Linked DNA regions of Tamandua tetradactyla. The protein of the gene in region 1 interacts with the protein of each later gene in a biochemical or structural test. Links are inferred from orthologs where the notes say so. Each region holds a gene or a part of one and is shown in the gene's direction. Other genes may lie near its edges.

Region 1 (6,940 bases):
ATGTGCCTTCTCACTTGAGAAAGAAACCCTTAACTTCATCGGCCTTCTTGAACCAAGGAATCTGTCCCTGGATGCCCTAGATTGGACATTTCTATAGACTTGTTTTATTTGGGACATTTTCTTGGCCTTAGAACTGTAAACTAGCAACTCATTAAACCCCCCTTTTTAAAAGCCATTATGTTTCTGGTATATTGCATTCTGGCAGCTAGCAAACTAGAACAAGTAGCAAGGCTTAAGAAATATGAAAGAAATAGAATTTACAGGAATTTGTGATCAGTTGGATGGCTGGGATTGGAGAGGCAAGAATACTGCATGGGTGTGGGATGGGGGAAAAGTAGAACGAATTATAAAAAGTCATGCCTAAATTTCCAACTTGATTGTTTGGGTGGAGGGGAATGGAAACCACAGACCCAGGGGGAGAAACAGGTTGGGTGGTGTGCTGGTTTGAAAGGATTTATGTATCTTAGAAAAATCATGTTTTAGTCCTAATCCTATTTTAGTGTAAAGGCAGCCTTTTCTTCTAATCCCTATTTAGTACTGTATGTTTGAAATTGTAATTACATTATTGCCACAGAGATGTGACTCAATCAAGTGTGGGTATTAAGCTTGATTAGACGGATACGTGTCTCTACCCATTCTACCTGGATCTTAATTAGTTTACTGGATTCCTATAAAAGAGGAAGCACTTTAGAAAAAGCTGGAGAATGATGAAAGAATGACATAGCCACAAGAAGCAGCAGCCAGCGACCTTTGGAGATGAAGAAGGAAAACGCCTCCTGGGGAGCTTCATGAAACAAGAGGGCTGGAGAGAAAGCCAGCAGATACTTCCATGTTCTCCCTGTGCCCTTCCACTTGAGAGAGAAACCCTGAACTTCATTGGCCTTCTTGAATCAAGGTAACTTTCACTGAATACCTTAGATCGGACATTGCTATAGATTTGCTTTAATTAGAACACCAGATTGAATCAGGATTAAAACATGACTTTTCTAATGTACATAAATCCTTTCAAATCTGCACAGCAGCTAAAGTTACCATCTATCAATCTTGTTCTGTTTTCCTTTGGCATTCATTATTTACTGCAGAGGAAGAAGCTGGGGGAAAAAATACACCCAACATTTTTTAGCTTTTTAATAAATAACTTTTTATTTTCCGCTGATGGGATACTGTTAGTGTTTGCTCTTTCCCCCCTGGGATTTAAGAATGCTTCCAGCTTGTATCTTGGAGCCTGTTTGTTAATTTTTCTGGATCTCAGTGAACCCACTTAATTTTCCACCCTGCACCTCAGATCTTTTCAGACTCAAGTTTTTTTTTTTCAATTATATTGTTGATCCTACCTTCTAATTGATTAGCTGTCCTCTTTTGGGGGACACCTCTAGTTTCCATCTCCATGCTGTTCTCCAGCTCCATTATCTTCTCTTTTAAAGAATTCCCCAATACTCCATTCTGTGTTCTTAAAGATTTTCTCAAGTTTTCCTTTGATGTGCTTTTCTGCATTGTTAAGTCTGCTTTTTGCTGCTTTGACCACTGCTTTTAATCAATAACTAAAGAGCTATTGTGGTTTTAATTTTATGGTACCCTCCCTTTTACCTTGGCTTGTTCTTTAAGATATATAATGTCTCTCTTCACCCTGGAGTAGGCAGGTAGAAAGTTGGAGTACATATGCAAGAGGGACATGCAAGAAAAGAGGGGTGAGATGTGAGGCAAGCTGCTTTATTGCTTAGTTGACTTACTTCCCTTCCTTCCTTAGTTCATTTACTTACTGCCCCTTCCTTTTTCAGGTTTTTTTCTTCGAATCCTCCCATCTCTTCAGGGCTGTGCCTGGTGGCTGATCTGGGGGGTTGGCCACCTCCAGGTGTTTTGCAGGCCAGGCCCTCCTGACCTTGGCAATGCCTTCTTTCAATCAAGAATAAGAATTAAGTGTTTTCTAAAACTGGGTCTGCATGATGGACTGAATGCATTTCAAAGGAGTAATTTTTGGCTCTGGCACTTCATTGCTTTTCTTGTGTGCCACACAGTTAGTTCCGCAGGGTTAAAAAAATTGCTTATTAGTTTTTAAAGTTGACTAGTCTAGTTGATCTTTGTTGATGTCTGATATGCAGCTGGTGGCTTTAAAGACCACATGGCTGGGCAATCCGGATGCAGCCCTTACACCCTTCCAGAGATGGTCTGGGAAGAGGTACAGGGGCACCGCCCGGTCTCACTGGCTTAGCTTTTCCTGGCACCCACCTGCCACAGGAGTCCAGTTTTTACTTTTCAACCTCTAGTGTTTATAACTATTTTTGAACCTCCGTGGAGCTGTCTCATTTTCTTTAAGTCTTGAAGCGTTGCTTTTAGTATGTCCCTCTTGACCTTTCTATTTCATTGTTTATGTCCAAGTCTCTGTCCAGCTGTACCATTCTGAGTCTTGCGTCTTTCTCTAGTGTCTTAAACCACTACTCTCTAACCCCTTATTCTGCTTTATATTTTATCATAGTACTTACCTTAATATGAGTATTGTGTATATTTATCTATATGCTTCCTCCCTCTAGAATATAATCTCTAGGAAGGTTTATACAAGAGATTACAGGTGAATATATATATGAATCTACAGATATAGAGAAGATATATATTACTTTATATATATATATAGTATATTTAATCACCATCATATATGCTTCCTCTAAAATGTAATCTCTAGGAATACATATACTATATATATAATATTTATATATAGGTAGAATATAGGGTATATATTCGAGTATAAGTATAGGTATAGATTTATCTATAGCTATATATCTTTTTTCTTTTGTATGTTGTATAGTGGGGGGTCACATTTCATTATTTTTCCATGTGAGTATCCATTATTGTAGCACCATTTGTTGAATTTTTGTTTGTTTTTTGGGAAGTGCATAGATCAAGAATCGAACCTGGGTCTCCTCCATGGCAGTGAGAATTCTACCACTGAGCTACCCTTGCACACCCTATAGTTAGAGAATATATAAGTGTGTATATATATCTATATATAGGTATATATTAGCATATATATAGGTATAGGCATATATCTATATAGAGAGAATGTATAGGTATGTATCTATAGATAGGTATATATTAGCATATATACATATACATATAAATCTATAAATCTAAAGATATATATACAGATAATATATGGGTGTGTATATATATATATATATGAGTGTATATGTAGGCATGTACATATTAGAGAAAGATATGTACCTATATATCTCTCTATATAGGTACATATATATTAGAGGTGTGTATATATATCCATGCATACACATATATATATATAAATTTATTTATTTTCTTCTCAGAGCCGACCCCCGGGAAGATGGCAGGTGCTGAACCCCTATTTGCTGAAGGGCCTGTCTGCTTAGCGCACCGTCTCGGAACCCCCGGTTTTGGTGTCAGCCCCTCAGTACGGAGAAGTGTCCCTCGGTCGCGCCCGTCCGTCGCCGTCCTTGTCCGCGCGCAGCCCACGGTCACCCTCCCGCTCCGAGGCCCGCTGCGCGCCCTCGGCTTCCCGGGGGCCGCCTCCCGGCGCCCGTGACCGCGCCCCCCGGGCAGCGCCCCAGCGGCCGCCGCAGTGCCCCGCCCCGAGCGCGCCGCTTCCGCCGGCCCGCGCACGCCCCGCCCCCGAGCCGCGGCCAGCCAATGGGCGCGCACGCCACCCCGCCCCGCCCTGGCGTCCTGCTAGGCGCGCGCCCCTCCCTCCGCCCGCCGGCCCGCCCGTCAGTCAGGGAGGGAGGCACAGAGGCGGTGGGGCCGAGCTGCAGTCAGCAACCCTCAGCGGCGTCTTTCCTCCTCCTCCTCCTCGTCCTCCTCCGCGGCCCACGGCGGTGGCCCGGCGGCGGCGCGTTTCCCACCCTTCCCCGGGAGCCGAGCGGCGGCCGCGGAGCGCCTCGAGCCCTGCGCGGCGGCGGCGGCCCGGCAGCCAACATGGCGGCGGCGGCGGCAGCGGGCGCGGGCCCCGAGATGGTCCGCGGGCAGGTGTTCGACGTGGGGCCGCGCTACACCAACCTCTCGTACATCGGCGAGGGGGCCTACGGCATGGTGTGGTGAGTGTCGACCCCACCCGCACGCCCGCCGGGCCTGGGGGGCGCCTCGATCTCCCGCGCCGCCGCGACCCCGACCCCGACCCCGGCGTGGGGGTGGGGCTGCGCTGGGGGTTGGGGCTTGCCCGCGGGGCTCCTCCCGGGCCGGGCAGCGCGCGTCGCGGCAGGGGGCGGGGGTCCGCGGACGGAACGGCAGCCCCCCTCCCCGTGTTGGCTGACCTCGGGGTCTTCATTTGGAAATCCATTTGGAAAAGCGGGAATCCCTTTAGAGGCGCGGCGGCGGCGGCGGCCTCTCTGGTGTGCAGAGCACCGAAATAGTCCCGTTTCCTACGCCGGCCTCCCCGCCTCGGTTTCCCCCGGAACGGCTCTCGTTCGGCTTCGTCGGTGGGGCGGGCGGTGCTACCCCGCGCAGGCTTTCCGAAAAGCACGAGGGACCCCCGGGTCGCTGGGGGAGTCTTTCCATGTTGGAGTTTTCGGATGTAACGTCGCGCTGTTTGCATTTTCAGGAAGGATCATCCAGCGGGGCTCCCATTGATTTATTAAAAGATCCGTTTGGAGTGGGTCCTAATTTGACTCCCCCCCCCCCCCTTTACCCTAAAGACTCTCTTTTAGCAGCACAAAAATGCCTCTGGACGTCTTGACAATTACTGTAGACTTTGTTCATGTTTTAGCGCTCAGTGCGGGCAGCCTTGGTGGAGTTCTTGCACCATCACAACATGCTCCCTTATCCCGACTCATGTTCCTCAGAAATGTGTGGAAGGAGAGGCTGACGGTGTGTGTGTGTGTGTGTGTGTGTGTGTGTATGTATGAGGACGAAGGGGCTGGTGAGGATTTGTGGAAGTGTAGATTTCCTTACACCTACATCTTCTGTGAGTATGTTTTCTCTGGAATGAAGGAAGCAAAGTAACATTGAAGAATTCTTAGCAGGTACTGTGCTAAGTCTGCATGATCTCATTTGGTTTGAACAACCAACTTCTTCTACATTGGGGCGAGGAAGGGTGGTGGTATATATACCTCCTGCAGGTGAGAAAGTGCTTGGACCTCAGATTCAGATCAAGGTCTGATTTTAAGTGCTGCAGCTCTTTCTGTTACATGCTGCTTTCCTTAAATAAGGGGTTCTTAATGATTTAAGAATGTTAGCGTGTCCCAGCAACGCATTCACATTTGAATGGACATAATTTTTAAAAAAGAGGGCGCGTTTATACTAACTTCGCTAGATGAACCAACCAGGTAAAATTATTTTTTAAAAAATTTTAATGAATCTTGAATACTGTCTTTCTCTGTAGGGGCAAAATGCTCCACAGTATACAACTGTGAAAATTAACATGCATTCACAGGTTTAGGAGCTAAAAGAGAAAATAGATCAGACCTAAAAGAGATAGGACCCTAAGAAAATAATGGACAGAAAGCATTGACTGCAGCATCACTTCTGTTGGTGCCACTGCATCTGCTGGTAAGTATGTCAATGAGCGTTTCTCTTTAGGTGAATCTCAGAATTGTCCTTCCTGTTCTTTGGTCCTTCTTTTGAAAATTAAGTTTTCTAAAATGAGAACTGAAAAAATCCTAAGACATTTCTATTGAAATTTTTTTTGTTTTTTATCTGATGAGATTTTTTACTTAGAGAAGATGATCTCTATTTATTAACCATTTCTATCACTGCTGTAGACTTCTTTGATTTTCTGAGTTTCCTGGTGAAATACTTAAAGTTTTCTTCCTGTGATTTTTTCCTTACTAAGTAAAATCCAAGCAGAAATGAATTGGATCCAGAGGCCTTTTTGTCTTAGGTTGATATTGTATTCTAATAAGAACTTAATCTTCTACAGAATGGGGTTTGAGTTGGGCCTTTAAGAATGTGTATGACTTTGATAGGGAGATAAAAGGAGCAAGTGACAGCTTGAGCTGTAGAATCTAGTCCTGGAAAAGTACTAAGGAGGCTAATTGTAGAGAACTCTTAAGGCAAAGCTGAGTTTCACTGTGTGTTTGCGTAATGGGGGGGGGTCATCGCCATTTTGTAGGAGGCTGTCATTTCATCAATTTTTATTTTTAAGATAGATAAACGCCCTTAAGAAGTGAAAGAAGAAGGAACTGGAATGGAGGGAATTAGTTGGGCTATTGTAACCTAGAGGCATAGTAATACGGTAGCAGTGGAAGGCATTGAGCAGAGGTTAGTTAGCTTGCCAAAGGGCAGATGGAAGTGTGAGGCCTGCAGAGATAGGATCAATAACTAGGGCTCTCATCATAGGAGTGGCAGAAAGAATTAATGGTGGCATGTAGGGGTAGGAACAAAAAAATGATGAGGCCACCATAAGGGGTAAGAGAGGTAGGTTCTGGATTTGAGAGGGGTTTCTGAGATAGATAGAGCTAGGGCTTGGTGATGGATTGTGTGGGCAGTTGTTAATTTCAGGGCTTCTAGCTTGTGAACTTGGAAGGATGGTGGTTCCATTATCTGAGGGAAGGAATATGGGAGGCAGAGCAAATTTAACTGGAAGAAATAGGGGGTTCTGGTGTGGACCGATGAAGTTTATAGTGCCCATGGGCCATTCAGGCTGTATCCAGATGGTATCTTGGAATTTATAAGAGGGAAGTTGGCGCTGAAAACAGAAATTCGTGTAAATGGTAGTTGAAGATTTTTCATGTGTTTGTTTTCTTAAGTTTTCAAAACTTAAAAATTATCCACCAAGCAACAACTCTCCCTCCCCCCCCCATTTCGTAATCCACTGTCTATAAGTTTTGCTATTTCTGGATATTTTGTGTAAGTGAAATCATAAGGTAGTTGCCCTCATTCATGTGCTTTGCTTTCACTCAGCATAATCTTTTCAAGGTTCATCCATGTTGTGGCGTGTCTCAGAACTTCATTCCTTTTTATGACCAAATAGTAGTTCATT
Region 2 (7,782 bases), on another chromosome or scaffold:
TTTTCTTTGAATTATATTTATCAGATTGTGTTTTCCCTGTTTATTTCAATTACATTGTATTATACTGCCTCATTTGAAGTGCTCTTTTCTTATTATTTATGCTTTCACAATAATTCAGTTTGTCTAATAGTGGTGAATATAATTTAACTAAAAATTTTAACCCAGAGGCAATTTTTTTCTCTAAGAAAGCACAGAATATTGTAGAACAGTGTTAATCTAAGTACATGTTTTTATTTTTAGTGATTTCATTAGATGGGAAAATTTAAAAATCGTTCCTAATCACCTTCTTACAGCAATCTGATGAGATTGCTCTTTCCTATTTACTGATAAACCTCTCAACTTTTCATCGCAGGACACACCCATAGCTTGTGTGTTCCCATAGTGTGTCCTGTGTGTAATTCTTGTGAGCTGGCTCTCTCTGATTCTGCAGGAATGTGTTCAAAGTACAGGTTCTTGAGTTGGACCACCTGAGTTTGAATCTTGGCTCCCACTATGAAGTCTTGCTAGGGATACTAAATCTTGATTTCCACCATTTTCTCTTCTATAAAATAGGCTTTGATAGTCCCTACCTGTGATGGCTAGGTTCTAGTGTCAACTTGGCCAGGTGATGGTGGTCGGTGGTCTGGTCAGGTAAGTGCTGGCCTAACTATTGCTGCAAGGATATTTCATGGCTGGTTGATAAACTGGAAGGCTGGTGTATTAAATCATCAGTCAGTTGATTGCATCTGTGGTTGATTACATCTGTGATCAACTAAGAGTGTGTCTCCAGCAAATGAGATAACTCAATCAGTTGGTTTTGATCCAATCTTTGAAGACTTTTAAGGAAGAAGAGAGAATTTTTCACTGCTTCTTCAGCCAGCAAGCCTCTCCTGTGGAGTTCATCTAGACCATTCCTCAGAGTTGCCAGCCTCACAGCCTGCCTTATTGATTTGAGGCTCTTCCATTTCCACGGTTGCATGACATACTTTTGTAAATCTTATATTTACAGGTCTGTTTTTCTGGAGAACCCTTACTAATACACTACCCCACTGGGTTGCTGTGAACATACTTAGCACCTGATACCTCATACTCAGTAGAAAATATTATCATTTTTACTTTAATTATTATAATTTTTAATTTTTTCCCACTTGAGAAAGCCCATATTAAAATGCAAATAAATGACAGTAGTCTCTTGAGAGCAATTAATCTAATTAAAATTTTATATTGTACATTTAAATTTTCCTATAAAAGGAAAACGATCTATAACCTTTAGTTCAGAACCCAATGGATGTCCTGTTATGGCAAGTGTTGCCCCATGATTTTCTTCTCTGTATTCATGTCTATAATCGATTTTTGCAGGTTGCTAAATGCCATTTGGAAAACAGAATTCATCCACTCTGAAAAATAAAATAGTTGAGAGATTTAATTCATGTACATAAAAGCATTTTGTTTTTGAAAAGTTTAAACTATCCAAATGTTTATTAAATAACTTACTTTCTACCAGAAATCATAATAAAATAATAAAAGCAAATACCCCCCAATAGTGCATTAGTATACATGACTATTCCTTTTGTTAGCACATCTTGTGGAAAGTTTATGTTTGTTAAATTAAAATTAAAACTTCTTATGTTAGCTAAAATCTTTCTTGCTGTAAGCATGCTGGGGGACATTAATCTCAGGTAAATTTGCATATTCAAATTATTGTGTGGGCTAACTCATAAGTTTAGAGAGGATTGCTTAAAGGTCCTTAAGATCATTTCTTTTTAAATGTTCTTAGGTGTTAGAGTATGTTAAACAGATAATCAGAAAGTATTGGCAAAGTCATTTGAGGGATGGGAGAAAGAATATGGAACTATTAAACCTTACCATTAGGGAATTTCCTGATACTGTGTCAAACTTTAAGGACACCCAAATCAATAGGCCATGCCCTCGATCATGAGGCTTACTCTTGTGAAGTATATGCAGATAGAATAGAAACTTAGACTACCTATAGGCAGGCCTAAGAATTACTTCTGGAGGACCTCTTTTCTTGCTCAGATGTGGCCTTAGTCACTCTAAGCCCAACTCCGCAAGTGAAATCATTGCCTTTTCCCCTACATGGGACATGACATCCAGGGTTGAAAGTCTCCCTGGCGACATGGGAGATGACCCCCAGGGTCATATGAATCCAGACCTGCCACCCTGGAATCAACAATTCCATCCTGACCAAAAGGGAGAAAAGAAGTGTAATTAATAAAGTATCAGTGGCAGGAAGAGTTCAAATAGAGTCAAGAGGCTTCTCTGGAGGTTGCTCTTATGCAAGCTTCAGGTAGACATTGCTACCTATCATAACTTGCCAACCGTCAACCAGGCCCATTCCAGCTAATCCTAAAGAACACCTAGGGCAATATGTAAGATTCCACAAGCATTCCAGGCACTGGAGTAACTTTCCAGAAACCTACAACCTCCAGATGGTTCTCTGGTCCAGATAAGTCCTGACACCTAGCCCAGCTTCTCCAGAACATCAGAACATCTCCCTATCCCATATTAGTGACAGACCCTTCCAACATCAAAAATTTAGAATTGCCATAGCCCAAACACCCCTAAAGAGAGAAATGGAAAGATCAAAGGTGATGGTGGAATTATTCAGAGAAGATAGGATTTAATAAATGAATATGAATGCTGAGTCATTAAATTGATATCTCTTTCAGTCTCCAGTATTTTAGAGCAGCTAGAAGTAGAAACCTGAAATTGTGAAATTGTAATTCATGTCAAAGTCTGAAATATGTTTTACAACTAATTGTGGTGCTGTGCTTTGAAATTTATAGCTTTTTTGTATATATGTTATTTTTCACAAAAAAAGGAAGGAAAAATGTCGATTGTGATGATAAAAAAATTTAAGCCCTCTGGCCTCCTATACTCTGGAGCAGCTAGAAGGAAAAATAGGAGAGGATCGTATTGTAGCCCATAACAAACTCTGGGATCTGTCCTGTAACTATTTGTTGAAGAGGGCTTTGAAAACTATTACTTTTTTCTTTCTTTGCTTTGTATATGTGTTATACTATACAATAAAAAAAAGTTAAAAATTTTAAAAAAAGGCCCTAAAAATGTTCTTAGGTGTTGATTATGAGAGTTTTGTTTTTCTTTTGTAACCAAGCCAGTTTCTTTTAAAAATGCAATTTTTTTGAGTGATATTCACATACCATATAATCAACGTGTATAATCAGTGGTTCACAATATCATCATATAGTACTGCATTCATCAAAAAAATCAATTTTGAACATTTGCATTACTCAAAAAAATACATATAAGAATAAAAATGAAAACAAAACAAAACAAAACACCCCAAACATCCCATACCTCTTATCTCCTCCTATTTTTATATATTTTTGGTCCTTTAATTTTTTGCTCATCTGTCCATGAATGGAGTGTCATCGCAAGGTTTTCACAATCACCCGGTCATACTGTAACAACTTTATAGTTATACAATCATCTTCAAGAATCAAGGCTACTGGAATACAGCTCAACAGTTTGAGGTGTTTATTTTACCTTTTCTAATCCACTAAAAACTAAAAAAGGCTAACTATATAATGCATAAAAATAACCTCCAGAAAGACCTGTTGACTCTATTTGAAGTCTTTCAGCCACTGAAACTTTATTTTATCTCATTTCTCTCTTCCCCTTTTTGGTCAAGAAGGCTTTCTCAATCCCATGATGCTAAGTCCCAGTTCATCTCAGGAGTCCTGTCCCACATTTCCAGGAAAATTTACACCCCTGGGAGTCATGTCCCATATAGAAAGGAGGGCAGTGAATATACTTTGCTGAGTTGGCTTCCAGAGAAAGACTAAGCCAGTTTTGAGACACACCTCACCCAACAGATGGCAAAAGATTTTCTTCCTTCACCTTCTCGTCCTACCATTCTCATGTTCGGAAGACCAAGTCTAATTGATTAGAAAAGCTAATATCTAAAAAGCAAAACTAAACAAAACAAAAACCTTAAAAATATACGCTATATAAATCAGAAGCAGATTTTCCACTTTTTTTTTCCTGCACAGGCAGGCACCGGGAATGGAACCCAGGTCTCTAGCATGGCAGGTGAGAACTCTGCCACTGAACCACCATCGCACCTCACTATTCTTTTTTTTTTTTTAGCCCATTTTCTACTTCAGACAATGTCTCAGTGTAAAAAAGAAAAAACCAAACAAGCAAAAAAACAATCAATCAACACTTAAATTGCTGTAGGAAATGCCTGAAAAGTTTAGGGTAAGATCATCTGACAGAGGGAAGGGCTTCAGAGGCACGGAAAAGCTAAACCTGTACAGGTTAGTGCAGTAAAAAACCTAATTAATCAACGACCAGGAAGGCAGAGCATGTTGAGGTATCCACGGCTAAGCAAGAAAGTTAAAGAAATGCTCACAGAATATGTGTCCTCATTTCCACTTTTAGCTGTAACTAATTTTGGATTAAGCATTTATGTGCTGAATGAATGCTGTATATATATTTTCCAACTAGACACTCCTGTTTAGACTTCAAACCTTATTATAAGTAAAGAGAAAACCGACTGGATTGCATAAAAATTTCAATCGACCAGATTGCATAAAAATTTTACAAGCAGATGAACACATCACTTATCTTTTGTTAAATATCGATCTTAAAGGAAGTGCTGCGAAAGTTCATCAGGCCTAGCTGGCTGAAACCAAGGCCACCCCCTCCTCTATTTTTTTTCAAGGAGATTTTCCAGTCCTAGTCAAATGGTGGTGCTAGTTCTTTATTTTTGAGTTGCTGCATTTCCTAATTTCATGATCATAACGGCCCCCTGTCTACTGCCTCAGAACGGATTTCTCCAAAACTGAAAATGCAGGCTCCAGGCTCAGAAGCTCCCTAACGGCTCCAAAGATTAACACTCCTTCCTCCTGTCCATTCAGTAACACGAGAAGACAGCCTTCTCTTCAAGTAGGTACTCCTCTTTCTTCTCAGTTTAATTTTTTTTTTTTTTGGTTTTTGCTATATATATGCTACTGTTTACAAGCACAGTGTAACTTTAGAGCTTACCTCTCACGTTAAAAGGCGTTCATTTTTCTCTAAATGCTCCAGGGATATTTTTCAAAGCCTTTGCAAAGCAAAACGTCCCTGTAGGCAAGTCTGACTACGGTGTTAAAACGTTAAATCTAAACTTGGTACAGTGGAAATTCACTTTTGGAATAATATTCAGCTGAGTCAGAGGGCAAGGCGAGTCCTCTCTTCAGTTCTGCGCTGATAGGCTGCCTGGCTGCCCCAGATAAAGTATGTTTATTGGACTCCTCTCACTGTAAGGTTCTCTATTGTTAGTGTGTCGGAATCTTACCAGTTCTCGATCTGATCACTGACTAGCGTGAACATACTCCCTGTTTTCTTCATCTTTGGTGCTATAACTCACACGAATTTGAATGCAGCAATCTGAACAAGCCACTATTTGTTTCCTGGAGGCAGTAAAGTTTTCTGAAGAGCTACACAATCTAGCAATACCAGGATGAGCTACCCTCTGTTTCAATGACCCTATGGTTTCAGACAAGTTATTTTGAGTCCTGCTGCCTCAGTTTTCTCTTCTGTGGAAAAGATAGGCTAGTTTTTGTTTTGTAGCAGGGTGGTGCGTGCATTAGTGGCTCCATCGCGAACGATGTGATAGTCAAAAAAGCTGGGACAAAATACTTTCATTTTGATTAGAGGAATGTCCCACGTTTCAGGAAGTATTTGTTAAGTTTTAGGTTTCACGTTTTGTCAGTAAGGTCACCAGATTTTGTTCTGTCAGACGTGCCCATAGAAGCTGACATGATTTTTTTAAAAATACTTAACGCTGGATAAAGGCCTGGGCATTATAGGACTTAGAATTGTGGCACTAATTTCTCTTCAAAGGTCCTAGATTTCTAATAGCTTTATGGGCCAGATTGAATAGACTTACAGAATAGCTCTAAGCAAAAGGTTGCTGGAAACTTCTCCTGTTTTGAATGTATATATGCATTGATGTACACAGATACATATATTAGTATTGAGAGTGAAGTTGTGTTTAAGAGGTGAAGGTATTTGAACTGAATAGAGAACTAAAAGAAATGAAGTTGGTTGGGAACTTCTGAAAATTCGAAGCCCAATTTCCACTCTAGAACATTCTTTTGTACTTCTTTAAACCAAACGTTCACCCCAATTGATAATATTATACGAAGACCATCCATTGGGCCTTAAAATGCATGGATATAAAATCCTAAGAGTTGCTGTATTTTCAAAGACATTGGGAACAATAAAGGATTTGGGTTTTGGAAACAGGCAGATTTAGAGAAGCTAGATTTTGAATATAAAGGTCAGGGTATTTCTTAGTGGGATATATTTCTTAGACACTTGGAGATATTTGTTTTGTTTCATTGCTTATGACAGGTAAGGGAGGTATAAAGCACATAGGTCATAAACCTGAAGCAGAAACAAAGTCAAACAACTTTCTTATTTCATTTAACTCTGCATCTTTCATTTAGTTTAGGATCTGGAGCTTGCTACCTCCTCCAAATCCTCACTCTAAGCCTTTATACAAAATAAATTTACAAAGTAAATTTACTTTGGGTGCCTGCGAAACATTTTTACATGGTTCTTGGTAGATATTTACCTGTATTATTTAACCTAGTTAACCAGTACAATTGCCAGAGCTGAAGGTCTGGGAGATGGAGTGTCAGTTTGCTTTGCATAGAGAAATCTCTACTCTGCGGTTACAGATTGGTTGGCAGGAAAAATAGGCAGGAAAGAGGGTGACCCAGCTCAGAGTAGGTCATCCACACTGTAAAACACTCATAGCACATTCTTTATCAATGGTAGTTGAGACAAGGTCCTGCCATTGGCCTCTCTGTCATTAGTCCCTGAGAGACACCCTTAAGGCAGTAATCTAAGGGTGGCTTTTGATGAAGTTGATGGTGATGATGGTGAGTCTGCCTTCTTGGCAATCTCTCAGTAGCCTACCCTAGGTCATTCCTTCTGGACCACAGCAGCAAAACCTTACACAACAGTGTGTTCTGTGGTTCTTTCTAAGGGATGTAAGTTTTTTATTTATCAAAGTCTGTGACTCAGAGGATGCAGAGGATTGCACTATCCATTCCTTCCCCACTCCCACTCCAAATATTTCTCTAAAAAGCTTATACTTCTGATCAGGTTTTCCACAGAAGATAACTTTTTAGTGAGGATTCCATTCATGAGTGACAACTTAGCTTCAGAGCCCAGCTGAATTGAATCCATGCCATAGGTCCCCAACATTTTTCTAGCTGTGTGATTCTGACACAGAAGTGTTTTTTCAGACAATAAGAGTAGCTACCAGGCATAATTATATGGAATAAATGAGATTAAACTACCTGTGAAATAATTCTTACAGTCTTCGATATGTGGAAGTTGCTTTTATTCCAGTTCTGGTTTAGGATGAGATATACAATAAACATGGGTTGCATGGATGAATGAGTGAAACTCATGGAAGATTTGCATTCATCTGGCAATAATGGGTAGCTGATCTAAAAAAAAAAAAAGAACAGTGAATTCAGATAACTGAGTATTCCATGGGGTTGAAATGCTGCTGCTTTTGTAATGGACATGAAGTGCTGGAACAGAAAGTATGCAAACCTCCAACAACCTTCCCTCCATTCTTCCTCTCCCTGTGATTATAAGGATAGTCATATCCCTTTGGCATGAGAAAAGCAGCAGAACAGCAAAAAGGCAAAGTTTTTGCTATGATGAGCACATTAAAAGCTTATTAGAGATGCTTCATATTCATTTTCATATCAAAGAAAGCATTCTGCTCCATTGTTCCTCAGTTTCTTAGTC
Region 3 (7,374 bases), on another chromosome or scaffold:
GCCCTTCCATCCAGGCCAGTCCCTGTAGATTTAAACACTCCAGTCATATAGTAAGTATCCTCACAGATACAATTCTCTGCTATGGGTGCACCTGAGAGAACTGGATGTTTCAGAGGTTCCCAGCCCCTTGAAGGATGTCTTGGACTTGTCATCCTTCAAGCATTTTGGTTCATTCATTCTCACACATACACAAAACTTTAATGAGTATCTATTGTGTGCCTGACACCAACCTAAAATATCCTTGGAAAAATATGAGAGATTTACCCTCCAGGAACTCACAGTTCCTTGACAAGTAAACAAATATTTGCAGTACAGTGTGATAATCATATTTATTTTTACTAGGTGCAGTATGAATACAAAGAAAATGAACAACTGTGCTGGGGAATGAGCAGGGTGAGTTTTAGGAAAGGGAGTATTGACAGGTTTAAGATATAATTTGAGATAGGAGTTCTCTCTGTGAAGAAAATAAGGGGCCAGCATGCAAAGCGTTCAACAGTCTTTGCTCTTGGGAGAGCATGGACAACTGATTTTGCAGTGGGTTCAGTGCAACACGATGTTACCAAGCTGACCAGTAGCAGCAGAAATGTCCCAGGAGCAAACCTGCCACAAAGCAATTAGCATAGGTTTTGATTCTCTACAATGGGAAACTAAATGGCACAAACTTTACCAAAATGCCTCCCACTGATGTAGTGTAACTCTCATATTGTTAGCAGCCATCCACAGAGAGGGAAATCCAAATAGGTCTTCAACCATACCCCAAGCCCACTTCCAGATCTCAGTTCCAGCAGATCCAAGAGTTGATTTAAATCAGAGGGTAATTTGATGGAGTGAACCAACTGGGCTCTAAGTGACTTGGGGTTAAAGAGGCAAAACATATCAAGATGCCTGAAAGACAACAGTGTCCTGGGAGTCCTCTGTTGAGGTGACTCAGCTGGTCATACTGACCTTGGCAAGCAATGTGCAGCTCTGAAATTAACCTGTCAACTAAACTGAAGGGGAGAAAAGACAGAAGGGCTACAACACAAACACCGTCCCCACCCCCAGTCCAATCGCTGACGTCAGGCCTGGCGTGGGTGGTATTAATCACACCAGCCTGGTGTGCAGTTGAGGACAGCTCTCCTTCCAGCCCTTCCAACCCGTTCCTGGGAGCGTTCCACCAGCCATGCACCTGCCGCTGGCCACAAACTCTCAGCTCCCAGACAGGCACGGATGCAGGCTGTCGCTGACGACACTAAAAGCCACAGTGCACCCTTTAGAACCCGGGCGTGGAGGGGGGTAGGGCAAAAATTGGTACCCATGCTCCCCTCCCAGGTGTGACTGCTCCCTCCCCACGATCCTCCCTGCCCCCCACCCCCATGCACACACATAAGATTGTAATTTCCTTGGAATGTAATGAGAATAAGAAATTAATGACCCAAAACACTCCTTGGAGCCGGTCATTAATCCACCCCACCCCCACCCCCCAGGAATTACCCCATGGTCTTTAATAGAAATTGCCTAAATTATAGACTAGCGATGCATGTCCGCACCGGTTGCGACGGGGAGGGTGGGGGAAATGTCGTCCCAACTGGTTCCGGTAGGTGGCGCCTGTCTTCGTGTAAATAAATTACTTAAGTAATTTGTTTTCCCTTTCTCCTTAGCGAAAACCAGGGAACATTTTTTAAAAAGGCAGCGGGTGGGGAGTACTCAGTAAAGGCCCAGACAGGAACGTTTTGTCCGAGAGCTGTTTTCAGGCCTGACAGGCATCCCGGGCTCCGAAGATTGAGACACACAGGGTGAAGCCAGCATTCTGAGTGCAGCCTGTACTGGGCGCTGGCAGCCAAGTGATGAGGAAGGTGCAGAGAGAGAATTCGGGAAGTGAGGGAACAGAAGAGCACGGAAGAGAGGGTGGTGTTTCTCCAACCTTTGGGGAAGGAGGGTGGTGTTCGCAGACTTCCTGATATGCCCATACTCTGTAACTCGTATTTTAAGGCCTCTCCCATCATTGGCCATAATTCTCATATGGAATTGTAAATAAAAGCTTGAAGTCTTCTAAGACTTCTAAGACCTTAAAGAGTTTTGGCTGAATGTGACCTATCCCCCAAGTAATCATTGCTGAGCAATCTCCCATCTGTCATGAATCATATAAATATTAATAGGTATGTAATAGAAGACTTACGACTCTTCTAGGGAAAGATAAGGCATATGGATGCCTGACTTGCATCATAAACCTCAGCTGCTGCCAAATCCTGAAGTTTTCTCAGACTCCTTGCAGTCCCTGAGACTTGGCACCATGACTCAGATGTGAATAGTCAGTAAGATTACTTTATTTTGGTTGGGAGTCACCGCCTCCTGATCAATCTGGCACTTTGAGTGTTTTGATATTTATGTCATAGGTTTTTTTTCCCCATGAACCAGTTTATTTGCATTTAACATGATTATACAGATTCATGTGTTTAACAAGATCTGCACTGTTACATTAAAAAATGCAGTACAATAACGTTCAATATGAGATACTTTATTTTTTTTCTTCATAAATAATGTTGAAAGCCACTAAATTCAAGCTCCCTCATGCACAAAGTGGCTACAGGATCCTGAATTTAGCTGAGCTTGTTTAAACACCTTATAAAAACAAACAAAAAAGACATTTCTGTGAAACAATTATGTAGAAATTAGATCATTTACTTAAATAGTATTTTAAGATAGGTTCAAAGAATGTTACATGAAAATTGCTGACCTAGTTACCCTTTATTCTCAGTTCTCCTAGAGTTTTAAGGTAATTCTGGTGGTGGCCTTTGCATGTGGCTTAAGGATCTATGAACTGAAAGGCTAAGGAAGCTCTGGTTCCAGCTATTGTTATAGTGCTGGCTTTAAACTCTATTCAACAGCATACTGGACAGTGAAGAAAGTCAGTGAAATACTGGGGTCAAGGGAGCAGCTCTCTAAATCTCCCAGGGTGCCAGGAAAAGCTAAGCGCCCAGTAGATGAACGTCTAACTCAACCAAGATGAAAGTCACGCTCCTTGAAATAAGTAGCTTAGCTGCTTGGAGACAGGGAAGTGAACAAAATAGCTTTAGTCTAAGATTGGGAGAGAAAGGTGCTTTCTGAAAGGTGTTTTTTTTAAGAGATGCTGCTTCTCCAGTTCATGTGTGGCAGTACAGTAACCCATTGGGTTACTATCCACTTGAAAGACAACTTGGGGCGCTTAAGGCTGCTTATTAAGGAACTTTGTGAATGAAAAAGAGCTACCAAAAGTATTTTCATGTTTTTCTCCACCCTACCCCTGAAGTGCTGGTGTTGTCAAGTGTGTACTTTCACATACTTTATCTGAGTTAAACCTTACCACAGCTCATGGAGAGATGTATCATTATATTCCAGTTTACAAATGAGTCCCAAAGAGGTCTCATAGCCTATATAAATGAGTTGGAACTTGAGGAATTTTGCCCCAATTTTTCTTTTTTCTGTCTTCCAATTTGCCATGATATACACTGACTAATTTTTGCTTCGTCAGTTCTTTTCAAGTCATACAGATGTTCTTTTACTGAGCCACTTTCCCAGAGGCAGTATGGGAGCTTGCTGGACTTTGTTTCCTGACAAAGACCAAGTTGATTCATAGACTTTAAAGCAGTCCCCCCATTTTAAATAGCAGATAAGCACAAACCTACCCCTACCTCCTCGGAATTAGAAATCTTGCTTTGCATTGTACTAGTGCTGACACCTTAGGCTATCTGTAAAATAGGAACACTACTGCCCACCAATTTGTAGGTTAAGACAATCATCCGGCACTTCGTAGGTGTGTTTTCCTTTTTTCCTCCCGCCAAGGGAGTGTGAGAGTTAATGAAACTCTTGCTGCGAAGCGGATCACTAATTTCAGCCAGAACCTGACCCGCTGAAACCTGAAACTCTGGGAATGGACAGGAAACGTGAGCAGCCTTCGGGTCCCTTCCCCGTCAACTCTCCTTGAAAAATTGATCCGCGACCGACAGCCCTCTGATTCCTCTCCCCTCACACCTCCCCTCCAGGGCGCGGCTGTCTCCCCCAGTCCTCCGGATTTTCTGGAAAAGACTTCAGAGGGGAAAGGAAAAACAATAATAAATAAAACCAGGACGGGAGCGCAGCCGAAGGTAGCTTTGGACGTTAGCGCCGACTCGGGTCCTCCGGCAGCCGCGAGGCGTTGTCCGCAGGCGGAGCGCGCGGCGGGCTGTGGGCGTGGCGAGCGCGCGCTGGCCGCTTCCTGCCGGGCGCCCCCTCCCGGCCGGCAGCGAGTGCGCGCGCGGGGCCGGGCCGGGGGCGGGGGCGAGCGGGTGCGCGCACTCACGGCTGGGCCCGCGCCGCCTCGTCCTCGCCCGGCGGCCCCTGGCGGCCCCGCCCCTCCCTCCCGCGCGAGCTGCGCACCGCGGGTCGACTGACCCAGTGGCCGGCGCCCTTGTCCGCCCGACCCGGCGCGGGCTCCAGTCCGCCGACAGCATGAGCGGCGGCGGCGACGTGGTGTGCACCGGCTGGCTGAGGAAATCGCCCCCCGAGAAGAAGTTGAGGCGCTATGTGAGTGCAGGCGGCGAGCGGGAGCGGCCGCGGGGGGCGCGAGCTAGGGGCGCCCGGCGGCCTACAGAGGGGTGGGGGCTTCCGTAGGGGCCGCGCCAATGGGGACGGCGGACCTTCCCCCGGGCCTGCGGGGGTCGAGGAGTGGTCGCCGCGCCCCGCGGCGCCGGGGTGTGTGGGGCACCTGCACACCTGTCACAGGTGCGCCGCCGAGGGGCGGGGCGGCTGGTTGAGGCTGCGGCACCCTCTGCGCTGGGCAGGCACGTCGGAGGCACCTCCCCAGCCAGCCTCCTTGTAAACTAAACACAGCGTTGAAGTTTGTATTGATTGTTTGGGGAGACCGAGAGAGTTGATTCCCCGGGCTAGGAAGCACAGTAACCCTGGGCGGTCTCCCCCTGCAGGGTCGGAGGAGTGGGTGGGAAAGGGGGGAGTAAGCTGTGTGGCCGCGCGGCTTGTCCCGCACAAAGGGCGACGCGCCTCACACCCTCTCCCTCTTCCCGTTCTCTGCCCGCCCCTCCCGGGTGGCCGTCTGCTTCCTTCCAGTCCAGAGCTTCTGCATCATGGGCAGCGTCAGCGGCATGTGCAGCCCTTGTATTAAGTGACTCATTTGTTTGTTCCCCTTCTTTCCCTTTACTCCGTATGTCTCTCACATGCATACCCCTCCCCCGAGTGTGACACTGCAGTTTGGTCCGTTGTAACTAGCCTGGGTTTTGTATTGTGTAGACCTTGGTGTCTGGGGTCGGGAGAGATCAAGGTTCTCAGTTGCCAGGTGGTGCTAACCCACAGTGTTTACTGAAATTGCTGGGACAGCGTCTCTCCTCTGCGTGAGAAACTGGCAATATCAAGGGGGATGTGGTACAGCCTGGTGCTGAGCTGTGAGGAGATAGGACGTTTTTTTGTTTTTTAACCCGAGGATGTATGCCTGGTGGGTCAAAGAACAAAACGGTGCGTTACAAATTTTGGCAGAAATCAGCCCCGGAGTTGTGGCCGGAGTTTGGAAATGGAAGTAAGGTCGCTAAAATGCCTCAAAGTCTCCCATCTTCGCCCTCTTCACTTCCTACAAAATGCCCTTGTTACGACTGATTTTTGGTGCTGGGCTCTAGGATTGCTCCCATAGTCTGGAAGTGAGGGCTTGTCTTCCAGCTGCAGTGCATCAAGGGAGCTCTGAATAGACCCTGCCTTCTGTCAGCTGCAGCAGTGGCTGTCCATGGGGGGAGAGGCAGAAGCTTACCAGAGTTTCCTGTCTTGGCTCCCCAGATCAGAATCAAGGGACTTCTGGCCTCTGGACTGAGGAAGTGACATTCTGTTTTTCAAAGGAAGTGTTGTTATTGGGGAGTGCAGGTGTGTGTGTGTGTAAGAGAGTGGGGGAGAGAGAGAATATGAAATCAGGCTCTTAGATCATTTACTGGGAAAAAAAAATCTGAGGATTCAACACATGATTTATGAAAGTGGACATAGATTTAAAGTACAATAGGGTTGAGAGAATGACTGTTCATCTCATTTTCAGGGGTGTCTGTGTAGCTAAAGTATTATAATGACTAAGAAAGAGACTTCTTTCATCTTCAGGGTTGTATCAGCTTATTAGGAAAGTTGATTGTATTAAGTTGAGGAGAAATATCCTGTTAGCATATTTTTATATATATATATAAATCTGGGTCCTCAAAGAGCTTCTAAAAATTGCCAATAAAAAAAAGTTTCATACTATGCAGTGAAATAGTGTGCAGTAGAGAAGTGACCCTTAATTGTCAAATTAGAACAATATCCTAAAAAACCTTGAAACTTTGTTTTGAAACAATTTGCAAACAATTTAACACTGTATCCATATTTGACTGGTGGCTACTTCAGACTCTCTTCAGACCCATTTCTTGGGTATTTTTATTGCTGAGCAGATTTAGCTCAGAATAACCAAGTTTGGAGGCTTTTAGATTAAGAAACTTTTCACACCTTTGAACTACTTAACACCCTAGAGTCCTGATCTCCATCTCTGTTTCCCATCTTCCTTGCAGTTTCTGCCGATAGCATGGTGTATTTCACTGGTATGAGTGGAACCCTTTCCCACTATGGAAATTCATTCCCCCTGGTTTAAACTGAGCCACTCTGACTAACCCTAAACTCCTGTGGAGCAGTTTGCCTTTACATCTCCTTTTCTTTTTGGGTGTTGAGAATTTCTGTACCCCATTTTAAGTTAGAACTCTGCCAGTTCCCTCTGTTTATTAGAGGTCCAAATTCATTAGAAGCAAACTTGGAAAGAGTAATTGCTTAACATAAACTCCAAAACAGCTGCTGCTTGTGGTGACTATAATATACATGTGATTTTGTAGACTGATAAATCTTTCTCATAAAAATATATCAAATTTATGAGTTAAGGGAAAAAGCAGTTTATGAAATAAATTAAAATTATTTAATTTTTACTTTTTAAAAAGCAACATTTCTGGTTTAATTTGGAGTGAGGGGTAGGTGTAGGGGAAAAAATCAACCTGGAAGAAGCTATGGCAGATGTTATTGGGGATTAGGTTTTAGCAATTTCCCCCCACAATATTTTCTATTTTATTAATCTCATTTAAATGTAAAAGGTTATGTCTGGTATTTGCTGAGTGCCCTAGAGAAATTGCAAAAAATGACCTCAGGAAAATTGTGAATATTGCCCGCGGGCATCAGGATAATGGTTATAGTGGGAGACTGGCAGGAGAAACTGAAAAATCTTCCTTTGCCATTGAGTACTTAGTCTCCCAGTATGTGTGTGTGATATATGTGTGTGTGTATATAGACATGCATATAACTGAAATGGGATTTTCTTGAGTAAAAAGCTTACTTATTGACAAACAGTGCACTGCAGTTTTCTGTTTATTTCACAGG
Region 4 (7,427 bases), on another chromosome or scaffold:
CAGCTTGCTCCATGGCTTCCTCTGGTCATGAGAGCCCTTGGCCTGGGACTTTTAATCGGGGTGTCCCCCTCCTGCCGCAGGTGCGGCCCCTTCTGCTCACTTCCTCCGGAGCATCTCATTGTCTTTCCCCGATGGCGTCACTGGAGTTAGCACTTGGCCCAGAGCTGGCCTTCTCTGCCTCCCCAGCGCCCACTCAATGCCGCTGCCCACTGCCTGGGGCAGGGGGGCTCCAGCTTCTCCCATGGGGTGCCCACCGCCGCCTGCTGGCCACGCACTCACTGCACCATCTTGGCATGTGCTGTGACCCTGGGACTTCTGCTCCTGCCCCATGAGATGGAGACAGGAAAAGGCTTACTGCCTCGCTGGCCGGGGAGATGCAGTAATGAGCGGTATAGGGCAGGCAGGCACACAGCAACTTCCTTCTGACTCCTCTATTCTCATCGTGGGCACTGTGGGGACTGCACCTCTGGCCCCTGCCTCCTCTCCCAAGCACCTGCAGCTCTCCTTGGCTGCCTTCACACATGCTGCCCCTTGGGCCAGTTAGCCCAGCCCTGACCCTTTCTCATCTGGAGAACTCCTATTCATCCATCTAAACCCCCACTTGCAGGTCAGCTTCCCTAGGCTTCTGGCCTCACCACTTCCATCTGTGTCCCCGGGCCTCCAGAGCTCACCCTCTTGACACCCTGTCATGCTCACTGCCCCCTTGTTTTGTCCACACCAGAGGTTTTAGTTCCTTGAAGGACACGTCTCATTTAAGGGCTTAAAAATATCTGTGGAATAAATGAACGAGTGAATGAAAGTAAAGTGTTTGGTAAGTAAAACTGTCAGTTAAATAAAACAATCTCTTTTCTGGAGGCAGAATTCATCTTTATAAGAAGTAGAGGGAACAGGGGGTGGGGACAGAATTTTGCCCTCAAGGCTCCTGTCTCCACCATCCCCTCCGCAGTCTTGTCACCCATATTGGGCAGCTGGGCAGGCTGGGAGCGAGTGTCCCCACTGGGCTGTCAACGAATGCATGGCTGCGGGTCTGTGGGTCTTCGGGGCTGCGGGGTCTTCCTCGAGGGATGGTGGGGGGGGGAGCCAAAAGCAATCAGTCCAAAAGGTGAAGGCCAGGGGTCAGGGGCAGCCACAAGCTTCACCCAGGCTGGGGGCAGCACCCGAGAGCAGGCCCAGCACATCCCACAAGGTAAGAAGAGCTGGGGACCTGGAGACGATGTGGCCTTTTGGAAAATGCAAACTGCCAAACCAACTCCTCTTCTTAAAGGAGCGGCAAAGCAGCCCAAAGAATGTAAGAGGTTTACTGGAAAGCAGCCCATACATAATCAGGGAGCAAACTGGAAAATAAAGAAACTCTAAAAGAAATATATATCTGAGATGGTTGAAAGGGAAAATGTTAGGTTGTACAGAAGGCAGCAGAATAAACAATTTTTAAGAATCCATGGAACTGCACAGCACAAATGGTGGCCCCTAAGTTAAATTGTGGGCTGTAGCTAATATTATAGTTATAAAAATGTGCTGCCATCAATTGTGACAAATGTCCTAATCCAATTCAAGGTGTTAATAATGTGGTGGTGTATGGGAATCCTGTATTTATGCATGAGTGTTCAGTAAATCCATAGCATCTTTAATTAAAAAAAATTATTTAAAAGCAATTCAAGGTGGTACGGTGGTGGTACCTGCCATTTCGGAGGCCCGGGTTCGATTCCCGGTGACTGCCCTTGCAAAAAAAAAATAACAATAATAATAAAATAAAAGCAATTCAAATAGCAGAGTTAACCACAGTTAACTGACGGGGATAACTAACTACCACAGTGTGTTTACTAGTGAGCATATGTACAGTTTCTTTTCAAATACACAATATATAATATATACCCCTGTAGTTCATTAAAAGAGTGATCCTGATCACTACAGAGAGCTGCTGGCTTTTATTTTCATTAATGAAGTTATGGGACTATGGTTAAAGAAAAATATTATACATATAGGGGTACACACACGCACATATACACTTTGTAAAACAGTTTATAAAAATATCATTTCAACAATCTCCTTCCCACGTCACAGGCCCTACAAACCCCCTTTCCTTTCCTCCCCCCACCCCGGAGTTCCCGTGTCAGCGAGGAGCGAGCGGGTTTCTGGGCGCACACGTGCTCAGTCGAGCGCACTGAGCCCCGACCACGGCTTCACATCCCTGTCTCCTCACCTAGGGGTCACTCACCTTGTCTTCCTGAATTCAGTGACCGTGTCGGGACTTTCTAGTTGTTACCTGGACCCTCTGGAGAAGCAATCGCCGTGACCCTGTCCAATGCGTTGTCACCAGCGCACTGTCACACACAAGCCGGGGGTGGAAGTGAGCCCAGTCCTTTCCCAGATGGAGGAGAATAAGGAGAGCTCAAAGCACATGTGCTCTGAAGTCGCTAGAAGCTCCTCAGGTTGCTTGACCTGCCGCTTCAGCCCGGACTCCGCGCGTGGATGTGGTCAGGTCGCGGCCCCTGGTTATGTGACCTGGGGAGGGACTACACTGTTTCCCTAGAAATGTCTGCAACGCGAGACTCAGATAATTTACCCTTTACTTCTCCCAACAAGAGTCCTTCCAATTTTATTCAGCATGAGGAAAAGATCACATTTTGTCAAATGAACCTCAGTCATTTTGCTAAAAAACGCGCTGTCATTGTATATAAAGCTCGACTCTCCCTGGGGCCTCTCTGGGCGCCCTGGACCCAGGTCCTTTTCCAAGGCGAGGAGAAGCTTCTAAACCCAACCTCCTCATGCCCACACAGAGCCTTCAACGCTCTCTTCGTAGGATCCGTGTGGGCCGGCAAAGGGCGATGGTGCAGTTTATAAACATTCTGAAAAGAGTTTTAACTGGCAGGGTTGGAAGGCCTGAAACTCACAGAGGTGACTGCTGGCTGGTGTCCTATTTCTTTAAACCACTGAAAAATTAGCAGAAGTGGCATAAAGAGGAAGGACACCGGTTGCCACTTGACTACAGCTGGCACCACGGGCCAAAGCCCAGCTCCCTGGGCTCGCAGGGCACGAGTCTCTGTTGCTTTCTTCTGAGTCACTGTGAGACGACCAGAGACACATTTCGGGGGGAGGGAGAAACTGTCTGCAATGTCCAAGCAGACGTCCCAGCTACAGCCCAGTGTTCCCATCCCCAGGCCTAAGAAGTTTGGGGGGAGTGACTGGAGTTGGGTTATGTCACTGGCCCTGGCACCCCCGGCCCGTGTCCCTCAGGCCCACCCCACTTACCAGGTACTGAAGAGCTGGTAGCAGAGGCCCAAAAGCTGGTGTCCTCCTCACCTCCCGCCTCCAGCCTGAGCACCTTCAGCTCCTCTCGGGAAAGGATCACGTGCGATGCTTTCTATCACTCTGGAGAGGTCACACACACTCGCTAATTCTGATGCAGTCAGCATTTGGACGTGGCAGACCTGCGGGGACCCTGTGTGTGGGGGGGGGTCAGGCTTGGGCAGGGTGTTCCTGAGACCCCGAAAGAGATTGCTGGGGCCACAACTGAGAGGGCCTCCTGACAGCGCCAGGTGCATTTCCCTGGCCAGGGAAGGGAAGCGGGAGCCGGGTAAGCGCCTCCCCTAGTGCCCGGCCTCCCCCATCTCCTGTCTTTCCCACCCACCTGCGGCAAGAGACCAAGAATTCAGGGGAGGTGTCCAGGGGAAGGCTCACAGAGCCCACCAGGGTTTCCCTCCAGATCTCTGAGTCCAGTTGGCTCACGTTCAAACGGCAGGCTTCCTTTTAACCAGGGCAGGACAGACACCACCTACCAAAAGGAAGCATGGGGACTTCGGGGTCAGCCAGCCCTTTCTGCTCCAGAAGAAGGTGGGTCCCCCGGTGTATGTTCTTTGCCCCCTTTGGGAAAACTCTGGTTCTCCAGCAGAACTGCCGGTGGGTGAAGGTTCAACCCAGGAACAACCTGCCTCTAGAGGGGCAACTGCAAGGCCCGGGTTTGATACCGACAGCACCCCCAGAGCAGTGGGTGTTCCCAGAGGGTCAGTGGGAGAACGGCCTGGAGCGCCAGGTCCGGACAGGGCCGGGCTCTGCCCAGCAGGTTCCCGGCGGGCACCCCAGGTGCGAGCTGCGGATCCGGACGGTGGGGGCGTGCTTGTCCCCACGGTGGCCGAGCCGGGAGAGGGGGAGACGCTCTCTGAGACTCCTCCTCGGGGAGGTAGGGGCCGGGGCTCGATTCGGAGGGTAGGCTCCAAGGCTGGGGTCCACCGGCAAAGCTGCCCTCCCACCCCTCCCAGGGCTGACCCTTGTGTGCTCACAGGGTCACTTTGGCCCGCGCGCCTGGGGCGGGAAGAGGGGCGGCCCGGGGGGCGGCGGCCTTTACCTGCCGCCAGGAAGCGGCGCGGGGGCGGGGCGGGGCGACCGGGTGCGCGCCGGGCCCGCGGAGAGCGCTGTCAGTCACCCCGCCGCGCGCCAGCGAGGACGAGCCTACGGCCCTGGCGGCCCGCGTCTCCCAACTAAAGCAGGCGGCTGAGGCGGCGGCGACTCCCAGACCAGCCCGCCTGGGGGCCCGCGGACCTGGAGGAGGCAGCCGCCAGCCCCCGCGCGGCCCCTCGGCCTCGGAGCCGCGAGCGCAGCGCGGGTGAGTGACCCTCGCCGGGGTCGGGCGGGGTGGCCGGGGGCCCTTTTGTCTCCCGAGCCCTTCTCGGAGCGCGAGGTGCGGGGAACCGGGTGACCTCGGGGACCAGCGTGAGGGAACCCCGAGCCTAGCTCCTCTGGGGCGTGTGGGCAGGGTTGGCCCGTGTCAGCCGAGGGCGGCTGCCCCGCGGTCAGGGGGCTCGGGGCACAGTCGGGCAGCGGCGCAGGTGGCCGGGCCGCGCGGGCGGGACGGGAGCAGTTGGCAGCCCCACGGCCTCCCGAGCCCGCCCCCTCCCACCCCTCACCACCCACCCCCATCCGAGTCTTCCCTGCGAGGAACTAGGGCACGGGTGTAGACGCCGCAGAAGGGGCCGAAGCCCTGACAGAGTCCGCGGTGGCGTCCGGACCACGTCCGCCGTCTTGGGGTGGCGGGGACCCCGCGAGGCCTAAGCGGGGAGCGGGCGGCGGCGGCGCGCGGGGAGGAGTCTCGGTTTGGGGCGGGGGGAGGTGACAACGGTCTCCAGGCCGCGCTCAGCCCGCGGCCACCGGGCTGCGTGGGGCAGGCAGGAGGGCCGCCTGCCTTTGGCGCTTTGGAATGGCTCACCTGGCCGGGCCCCGCGCCCTCCCGAGAGCCGAGCACGGTCTCCCTGCGAGCAGCGAGCGCGGCGACCAGCGACTTGGCCCTGCGCTTCCGCCTCCGCCCGCCGGTCTCAGCCCCTGCGTCCCGCCCCGCCACCTGCAACCTACGGGCGGCCCATGCGCCCCGCCCAGGGCCCCCGCCCGCCCCCTGCCTCCTGCCGCCCACCTGCCGCCCACCTCCCGCCCGACCCTGCGTCGCTGCCCTCACCTCCCGGACAGGGCCGCCCCTCTGCTGCCTATGCCGGTGCTCACGGGCGCCTGAAGTTGTCTCTCTGGGACACGGGTGGCACCAGGCCCTCTGGGCTTCTCTGACTCGGCCTGCTCCAGCCCTCTGCCCCGGAGGCCGAGTGGGAGTGGAAACGTGTTTCTTTGGGGCCGGGAAGGGTCTCACTTAGACTCTGGAACTCCTGGGGCCTGCTCTCCGTTTTCCAAGGGCCACCGTGGGAGAAGCAGCATGTGCTCCGTTTATCTTTGAGTTTGTGGAGGGGGAAAGCCGGGTGACACTGGGTAGGGACAGGACAGTCCCCAAGGAGCAGAGGGACCCTTGTGGAGGGCCTGGGAGGAGCTGGGCTGCCACAGCACCCCACCCAGCCTGGCAGGCGAGCTCCCACCAGCCAAGGAGGAACTGCAGGGGGGTTAAGTAAGATAAAAATAGTCTTTTATCTATAAAAAATCAAGTTAAAATTTATTGTTCAATAATGGTTAATTCCCAAGGAATTAACTGTTCTGAAATGGCTATTTTTATTAACTTGTTTAAAAGAAATACAATTTGGTTCAAATCTATTTGGAAAATCTTTCTAAAGTACTACATTTCTGTCTGCCCTAAGATAAGAAAATCAAAGATAAGTTCCTTGTCTTACAAGTTGGTATTTACTTGCTCTGTCATGATTTTGAACCTGGGCTTCTGCTTCCTGGTCAAATGTTGGCGCTCACTATCTGCGCAATCAAAGGAATTCAGTAAAAGCTGAAAAAGAATTGAGATCAACCTTTCTGGGGCTTTTCCTATTTCTGACATTTTAAATGTTAACTGAAGGTCATTTTGTTTGCTCTTTAGCGAGTCTCCGAATTCTTTAAAAGTTTAGCACGTTTCAGGTTTTGCCGCCGCCCCTCTGCCCGATCTGTGTCCGCATGGCACTGGCAGGGCCCTGCGCCCTCTGCATCACTTTATTCAATAGTCCTGGCTGCGCTGTGACATCCTCACTTGTTGTGACAGTTACCCTTTTAAGATCCTCTTGTTTTTACACAGGGGGATACTGAGGCACAGAGATGGTGATTACCTTACCTACAAGACACAGGATCAGTTAGAAGCAGAGCAGAATTCCAGGGCGGGGGGAGTTGTGTCCAGCCACCCCGCTGCCGCCTCTGCCGTGGGGGAGGACCTACCCCCCACCCCACCCCCGTCCCCTCTGTTTCTCTTTCTCATTTAAATGCCACCGTTAATGAGTGGCCCTGCCCGATAAAAGCGTCTCCTTCCAGATGACTGGACCCGAAAGGCCCTGTCCCCTGTCTGAGTCCCTCATCCTCTCCTTAGTGTCCTTCCTTGTCAATAAAGAACAAAAGAAAGTATTCCCCTTACTCTCCGTATAATTTTTAATTAACAGCCAGGAAGCAGTACTTAAGGGAGCTTAACTCAGGCCTGGTGCCAGCGGCCCCAGCCGCTGTTTAATGGAGCAAAAAAGCACCTGGGAAACACTGCTGAGGTCGGCATCAGTCAGGGACCCCCAGAGAGGCAGAGCCTGTAGGGGCTGGAGGTGAAGGACTGTGGTGCCAGGGGTGGGCTTTGCCTCAGTGGGGAAAGGCGGGCGGGCAGGGCAGCCCGGCTGCACGTGCTGTCCGCAAGCAGAATTTCCCTCTGGTTGTAACACATGACAACTGGCAGCGATGTGGCAAGCCTACCAGGAGCGGCTCAGAGCAGCAATTGTTAGCATTCAAACATAACAATTAGTTATGTTGATTCTCAAATCGTGGTCTACGCAGTTAGCACTGAGTAGGCCTGTAAGTGACGGGATGAAAACTAGATGGGTGCCAGGAAAATAAGGCTGAACAGACGCATGGTGAGGATATGGAATATATCCAAAAAAATCTTAAAAATCAACAGTGTTAAACAAGTGACCCCAAAGAAAGATGTGCTGGTGAACAGACTGGTCTAGAAGGGAAAGCTCAGTGGGCTAGTCAACGGGGGAAAGTCAGGT

Evidence for each region.
Region 2: of the proteins of MAPK1 (region 1) and ESR1, one has a biochemical effect on the other in vitro, tested with the Homo sapiens proteins (3 studies listed by BioGRID, with this or other methods). The link is inferred for Tamandua tetradactyla from reciprocal best matches to the Homo sapiens genes MAPK1 and ESR1.
Region 3: of the proteins of MAPK1 (region 1) and GAB2, one has a biochemical effect on the other in vitro, tested with the Homo sapiens proteins (2 studies listed by BioGRID). The link is inferred for Tamandua tetradactyla from reciprocal best matches to the Homo sapiens genes MAPK1 and GAB2.
Region 4: of the proteins of MAPK1 (region 1) and MBP, one has a biochemical effect on the other in vitro, tested with the Homo sapiens proteins (16 studies listed by BioGRID and IntAct). The link is inferred for Tamandua tetradactyla from reciprocal best matches to the Homo sapiens genes MAPK1 and MBP.

What each region holds. Positions count from the first base shown.
Region 1 is NC_135331.1:26,071,244-26,078,183, forward strand, and holds the start of MAPK1 (mitogen-activated protein kinase 1), read left to right. Parts: upstream 1-3,933; 5' UTR 3,934-3,939; coding exon 3,940-4,058; intron 4,059-6,940. UniProt on the Homo sapiens protein: Serine/threonine kinase which acts as an essential component of the MAP kinase signal transduction pathway. MAPK1/ERK2 and MAPK3/ERK1 are the 2 MAPKs which play an important role in the MAPK/ERK cascade.
Region 2 is NC_135328.1:143,353,397-143,361,178, forward strand, and holds the start of ESR1 (estrogen receptor), read left to right. Parts: upstream 1-4,765; 5' UTR 4,766-4,911; intron 4,912-7,782.
Region 3 is NC_135334.1:66,269,164-66,276,537, forward strand, and holds the start of GAB2 (GRB2-associated-binding protein 2), read left to right. Parts: upstream 1-4,373; 5' UTR 4,374-4,446; coding exon 4,447-4,521; intron 4,522-7,374. UniProt on the Homo sapiens protein: Adapter protein which acts downstream of several membrane receptors including cytokine, antigen, hormone, cell matrix and growth factor receptors to regulate multiple signaling pathways.
Region 4 is NC_135344.1:5,464,885-5,472,311, forward strand, and holds the start of MBP (myelin basic protein), read left to right. Parts: upstream 1-4,412; 5' UTR 4,413-4,600; intron 4,601-5,200; exon of another isoform or gene 5,201-5,300; intron 5,301-5,951; exon of another isoform or gene 5,952-6,517; intron 6,518-7,427. UniProt on the Homo sapiens protein: The classic group of MBP isoforms (isoform 4-isoform 14) are with PLP the most abundant protein components of the myelin membrane in the CNS. They have a role in both its formation and stabilization.